Linked DNA regions of Saccharomyces cerevisiae S288C. The protein of the gene in region 2 interacts with the protein of the main gene of each other region in a biochemical or structural test. Each region holds a gene or a part of one and is shown on either strand. Other genes may lie near its edges.

Region 1 (3,761 bases), on a different chromosome or scaffold from region 2:
TAATATTCGCAATAATTTTGACAGTTTCAGAATCTAACAACAATGTTGGGTTAGCAGTGGATTGTTCCACTATAGTGTCCCAAGCCATATTTGGCAGTTGCATCAAATCACTTAATAATCTATTTCTCTCCGCTACGCTTCTTTCTTCAGAAATAATAATACCACAAGCCTTGTAAAATGTATGGACCTGTTGCGGCTGTAGGTCAGCAGTTGTCTTTTGAATATCCCTAATTATTGTTTGGATGAAAGGCTCAGACTCACGGGGTTGTTGAATAACAAAATGATATTTACATTTTTGAACAATCTTAATGAATGTGTCACATGCCATATCCTGAACACCCTCATGAGTTTCATGCATAAATTCAAAAAGTTTCAAAATAACTGTTCTTAGAAAATTCCAGTGAGCCTTCAAAAATCTAGGATATTGGCCCACGACGTACATAATATCCGATGCAACAACAGCTTTATTATCTTTACCCCTTTTCTTGACCGTTAAATCTAGTAAATCTTTAATAACAGTAACTACAAACCTTTTTTCAGTATCTTCGCTCATTGTACCAGATATGGAACCAATAGCCCAAGATAAAGTGTTGATATTATGCCATGACCATTCGGAACCATCGATTTGCCTTGCCAATTTACTGATCATGATTTCTTCTGTATCGATAACATTCAAATGGGTCAAATATACAAGAACCTCTCTTTCTGATTTGTATAATTGGATAGTGTCTGATTCTTTAACGAACTCTCTAACAATTTCTCCTTCATCATTTTCAACCACAAGGACTTCTTCTGGTCTAACCATATTTTCAATAATGACCAATCTCAACTGTGAACAAATTTCTTCGTAAATATGTTTTTTTAATGGAAATCTTTTCATATATTCCGGATTTAGGGCGCCAGATCCAGTTGAGATAGCTTGTGAACCGACTGATAACTGTATCAATGGGCTCATTTCGGTAGCAGGCAAACGCTGAACCTCATAAAACAAATCTGCTACTAAATTATGCCAGTAATCCAATGTCGTCTTAAATAGTTCTCTTTCTTCGATTTTGGATAATTGAATTAAGTATTGGTGCGCATTCAACAACAACTCTCTTAACGATTCATCACTCTCTAGAAGGGCCCTATTACGAGCGAGATATGTAGTTAGAAACATTGCTAAATCTTGTAAGAAAGATTGATCATTACCGTTAGCATTTGCATAAGTGGCTTTCAGATCGGCAGTCACGGGCATCACACTTGTGGCAATTTGTTGTAGAGTATTTTGGAAAAAAAGTACAGTTTGTCTTTTTATCAAATCATTATCTTGTGGAATTTTTAGATTTGAAACCTCAGTCAAACATTTCAATGTGATGGCTCTTGTATCAGGCGATGTCATGAATTTGGTGCTTAATAATTCCAAAATATTGGTTTCATAAATATAACGATAAGGAATCCAATGTAAATATCTCAGTAAAGATTCTAAGGTTGCCACTATTAGAGAGCTTGAAGAACCTTGTTCCAAAACTTGAAAACATAATTTAAAAATCTGTTCAAATTCTTTTGACATGGAATTTTTCAAATGTAAAGCTTTAGCTTGTGTCATTTGTTCCGCAGAGAAATCGAAGACTTCTTCGGATAGCAGTTTCAAAACGATCATGTTATTTTCACAAACATTAACAGAGGAACTTGAACTGCCGATTAGTTCTGGGATAAATTCAGGCCAATTCTGAGGCCATTCCTGCTTTAAAATTTGGACCAAAGTCAAGTCCGACTTATTGATCAGGTTCTTTTGTGTTTTAAATACTTCATCGTCTTGGCACATGGAGATAATCATACCAACAACGAAGTTCCTAATTCCAATTCTATGATCATTCGGCAACAATTTCCATTTTCTAGTAATTAATTTATCAAGGATGGAAAGGGCAATAAATTTTGATTGAGGGTTAGTTGAGAATTGAAGAATTTGGTCAGCTTTTTGCCAAGCGTCTGGATTATCTTGAAATTTAGTCAAAATCTCTTGGGCTTGCTTTTGCTGAACACCTGAACCTTGATAGAATGTAGATACCACCTGATCTAATAGAGCGATATCTAAGTCGTTAGAAAAATCCAAAATTCCTTCCATATTATGTTTTTATCCTATTTTTGAAGTCAGTGAGCGGTTTCAATAATGTAGAGTAAAATGTTAACTTCTTCTTAATTATACTATTAGTTAAGTTTCTTGCCTTTCACAGGTCAACGTCTATTATTGTAGGTGTAAGTAATTGAAAGAGCGAGAATGATAGAAAAGAACAAAAGAAAACTTAACAATGATTGACTTTACTTAAAATAATCAGGCCAGAGAAATGAATAGTGTTGAGGTTCTCAAGATCTATGTCAAAGTTGTGACCGAATATCCTGCAGTTGATAATCTTTTTTGCCTTTGCTATTAGCGATAATTCATAATAATGCTAACGTAGGAAGAATAAGGAAAGCCAGGGAAATCTGCGAAATTCTTTTTTTTTCTTATAAAGAAAGATCATTCCAAATAGTATATATCTCCGGGTAATGATGTAATATTGCCCTTCATAATATATTATTTGTATTGAAACGATATAAGAGGAGAGGATTGACAGTAACTGGGAGGTATATAATGTGTACACAACATGAGAAATGGGTAAATGATGAGATAATTGTTGGGATTCCATTGTTGATAAAGGCTATAATATTAGGTATACAGAATATACTAGAAGTTCTCCTCGAGGATATAGGAATCCTCAAAATGGAATCTATATTTCTACATACTAATATTACGATTATTCCTCATTCCGTTTTATATGTTTCATTATCCTATTATATTATCAATCCTTGCACTTCAGCTTCCTCTAACATCGATGACAGCTTCTCATAACTTATGTCATCATCTTAACACCGTATATGATAATATATTGATAATATAACTATTAGTTGATAGACGATAGTGGATTTTTATTCCAACACAACAATTGAGTACTATCATATTCGTATGTTTCCGTTGTATCGCCATTCTAAATAAATGGAAAAGCTGTTAATATAATTGGCGTTACTTTTCGGATGAGCCGTATCGGCTGTGCATTTAACACCCGTTAAAGCTTCAAATACAAAATTGTTGGAACGAGAGTAATTAATAGTGACATGAGTTGCTATGGTAACAATATAATGCTTACATCGTATATTAATGTACACCTCGTATACGTTTAAGTGTGATTGCACCTATTGCAGAAGGAATGTTAAACGAGAAGCTGAGACAATACTGAAGCTGTGCTTAAAATCTATTAGTTGAACATGATATGGTAGGTACATATATGAGGAATATGAGTCGTCACATCAATGTATAGTAACTACCGGAATCACTATTATATTGGTCATGATTAATATGACCAATCGGCGTGTGTTTTATATACCTCTCTTATTTAGTATAAGAAGATCAATACTTATTTCTTCATTAATACTATTTTTTACCTCTAATTATCAACAAAAATAATATCCGGAATAATCAAAAAAGATTTAGAGTGCATAAATTAATTCCCTTCTAATGGGTACTCTTGCAATGTATAGTATTCTTTGCCCAGAGGAAGATAAAACTTATTCAGATCTCTTCAACCATTAAGATATAATCAGTAAGCGCAAGTGGTTTAGTGGTAAAATCCAACGTTGCCATCGTTGGGCCCCCGGTTCGATTCCGGGCTTGCGCATTTTTTTCTTTTCTTTTTTCCCTGAATAGTAAAGTTTGACATGCTCTAGAAAATCACCTCTCAATA
Region 2 (3,761 bases):
AGGCAGAGTAGTTGGTTTCTTGGTTATTTTCATTGGCGTAGTCCTAGGTATTATTTCATCTGGTAAAGGAGACGTACTATGCAAAGTGGGGCTTTTGTGAATATCATGTGTGACAGGTGGTACTTGCGGATAGCTTTCCACTTCACAGTGACTGTTATTTCGTATGGGTGTCTTAATTTCTAACTGATGATCTGTTAAATCCGGTGCATTTAGAAGCGGAGCTAGGTTACTTCCGTTCTTTGGTGGAGCTTTGACGGGAGTATGTTGAAATACATGTTTTTGTGGCAAAGAATTCTTAATTGGAGTGTTATTGCTGGAACCAGGAATAGGAGGTAGTACACTTGATGACGCTAAAGCGTTTGCATTTCTTAATGTTGGGTTCTGGGTATTTCGCATGTGGATGGGTTCAGTGTCATCCTGCAGTTGTGATATTGTCGAGACCGTGGAAACTACGGATTCCCTTTTCTTGTGGATAGGTGACAACTGTGTTCTAGGCGTGAACGTGCCAGCAGCATATCGATCATCCCTGCTTTTATCTGTGCCGACGAGGAAGGGCGATCTCAAACTATTTCCATTTATCCTTGGAGAGATACTTAGCCCACCCGGGGAAGTCTTTTCGAACAGACGGAATATGTTATCACCAGTACTATTTTTTTTATCATTATTGTTTTTATCACTGGTGTTATTATGGTCATTATAAGTCAAGCCGTCCAAGTTTAAATTATAATTTTGTGGAGAAAATGAAAGCAGTTCAGAATCTCTCAAATAACCACTGTTAGAGGAAAAAAGGTTCAATCCATTACTTTCTGGGCTTTTATTTGGATATCGTTGCCTATGGTATTTCCTGGATGGTGAACCATTTATTGAAGTATTTGACATCCGAGGCGATATTAACGTCGGAGGAGGAAATTGATATCCGCCATTTGCAGAGTTCGTTGTGACGATTATAGCATTATCTTTCATTCTACCGTTTTGCATGGCAGGTGTCTTTAGTATTACTGGAGATCCAGGTTTGGAATTAGAATTTGTAGCCCCAGAAACCAACTTCTGCGCCACCTCTTCTTGCTCTTCTAATACTTTACGCAACTTTTCTTGCTGTATTTGATTGTCTCTCAACTGCTTCTCCAATTTTTCGTTCACTTCCTTTTGTTTTTCAAGAGCAATTCTTAACTCCTCCTGCTGTTTCAACAAAACTTGGCTCAAATAGCTATTTTCACCATCATTTTCCCTTATATGGTCAAAGTCATCATTGTTATTTTTTACCGTATTATGATTACCCAATTCATTTATGAGTTCCATGGGTTGCGGATCTTTAGACATATTTAGAATGGATTGCTGTAAACTGGAAATACTCAATGTCTTATTATGGCCGAGAAATCCAAATATCGCTGTGCCACTTAGACCTCTCTTGTGTGAGGACATTGATTTTTTGCTATAGTGGGAGACTTTGTTGTTTTCATCACCAAGGTTCCAAGTTCTATCAATATTCTTTTTATCAGAAGAACCATCGCCCGTCTTAGGAGAAGGCACTAAAGGAATATCCAGATCTCTTAACTCTTGAGTCAACAGGTCATCGATGTTATAGTAGTCCATACCTAACAAGTTATCGAGGCCATCATCGTTTTCATTATTCAAAATATAATTGTCGGGTGGGGGTATGGTAGGATTGACATTATCATGATGTTGAACATACTCCTCATCTTGAGTGTCTTTCGCGAAGCCTGAGGGATTTATATACCACGGATCTACAACGTTATCCATGATTGTATTAACACCGTTTTTGGTCCTATAGATTTCTTTAGTTATTTCTTGAATTTATGCCTTGTATTTTTTTCTTCTAGCACTTTAACTGTTGCTTGAGTCTCCCTGCAACGTAGCTTTTGTTTGCTAGGTACAATGCCGAGAGAGGTTGTTATAAGTTTATGTGTACTATAAAACCCTTAATGAAAGAAAAGGGACAGAAATATTGCGAGTAAACAAACAGTACTCCCTCCTTAATATTTGCCCGTTAATGGCTAAATGCTTTCTGGAGTTGATTTACTAGCTACAAGCATCCTTATCCTTTACCTGTAAACCAAAAGTGTCCTGAAATTTTCCCAAAGTGCCAATGTTTACATTTTGCCGTTTTGAGATATATATCGTATATTATGACAACCTTCACCTATCTGACGAGCCGCTCTCAGTGCCCCGGTATTTTTGGGCGGCTATTCCTATAACACTATTAGTTAAAAGGGATTCTAATGGAGTGACGGTTTTCATCACAATAGATAGAGTTAACTAAGAACTCTAGTTTGTATGCAAAGTCATTATTGAGTAGTAAAAGCGCCCCCATCGTCTCGTTTAATTGTTGATAACGTTTTAATGTGGCTTTTGAAGGGTTGCTAGCGATGGCAATTGAAACATGTAAATTTTGCCTACTTACAATTAAATCCTGATAGTTTGAAATGCCTGATTTCTGAAGTGCCTCAGCTATTATCGTTTTGAAAGGAGAAATTTGTGCCTTATTGGGACATTCTGAGACAGGGAGACCGAGGTACAAGGTGTTGGCTCGTTCTGATATATATAACTTCGGATATGAGCAGATTTGAAGTTTAAAAGGGGTTATTTCATTATTTCGTAAACCATTACGCATTTCTTGAATGAAAACATGTCTTTGTTCTTCAGTTTCAAACAACAACGATCGAGTTAAGGAAACGTGTAAAGGTTTGGGGGCTCCCAAGTGTGAGATGAACAACGGGTCAAAATCCACCAGTTGATACGGATTAGTGTATTCCTGTTTCATAAATGTTTCTTTATATTTACATATGATTTTCTGAAGTTGTCGGTGAATCGCTGGAGTCGGACGCCACTCAAAATATGTGAACGAACGCCAAAATCGACTCATATTCATATCCTGGTGCTCGTACTTTTGTAAATTCGGAGGGATGTGGTACTTCAATATAATTGAATCCGGTATTGCAGGTAAATCAGTGGAATCGGCTTTCTGTATGCAAGTTTTCTCCGTGTATTCGATTTGGACCTCACTTTTGTTACTACTTTCGCTCTCGGTATCACTACCGTCACTGCTAGAATAGTCTGCAGATATGAATTCCATAGGCCAGTCTTCTTCTAAGCGATTGGTAACCTCCTTCACTTTAGAACACCACCAACAGATCGTTCTCTTGTTCTTTGTTCTTTATGGTATAATATTCACATGGTGCTCTACCGTTTTTCTTGTCGGCCCAGCCGGTTAAATCTCGAAGAGACAGAATAGAAGCTCTGTGGCTGTAAGTAAGGATAAGCCAAATGGAAAAGTTATAGAATTAGGACAACAATATACAGTTTTTTTTTGTACTCTTATAGAATACACACACATAGATACGCACGTAAAATTAGAGCAAAAGATGGTACAAGAATCACGTCCAGGGAGTGTAAGAAGTTACTCGGTCGGTTACCAAGCAAGGTCCAGATCGAGTTCTCAAAGAAGACATTCGTTAACACGCCAACGTTCCTCGCAAAGACTGATTAGAACCATCAGTATCGAGTCTGATGTGTCTAATATTACTGACGATGACGATTTGAGAGCTGTCAATGAGGGAGTAGCGGGTGTGCAACTGGACGTCTCTGAAACCGCAAATAAGGGACCAAGAAGAGCATCAGCAACTGATGTCACAGATAGTTTGGGTTCGACTTCGTCGGAATATATTGAGATTCCCTTTGTTAAGGAAACATTGGATGCAAGTTTACCTTCGGATTATCTGAAGCAGGACATATTAAATCTC

The links. The genes of interacting proteins can lie anywhere in the genome.
Region 1: the proteins of ACE2 (region 2) and CRM1 form a complex in vitro, tested with the Saccharomyces cerevisiae proteins (2 studies listed by BioGRID, with this or other methods).

What each region holds. Positions count from the first base shown.
Region 1 is NC_001139.9:930,887-934,647, reverse strand, and holds the start of CRM1 (exportin CRM1), read right to left. Parts: upstream 2,108-3,761; coding exon 1-2,107. UniProt on the Saccharomyces cerevisiae protein: Receptor for the leucine-rich nuclear export signal (NES).
Region 2 is NC_001144.5:405,062-408,822, forward strand, and holds the start of ACE2 (DNA-binding transcription factor ACE2), read right to left. Parts: upstream 1,762-3,761; coding exon 1-1,761. Other genes in the region: USB1 (phosphoric diester hydrolase), read right to left, coding at 2,222-3,094; bifunctional choline kinase/ethanolamine kinase CKI1, read left to right, coding at 3,384-3,761. UniProt on the Saccharomyces cerevisiae protein: Plays a role in regulating basal-level expression of CUP1. Activates EGT2 transcription in the absence of SWI5.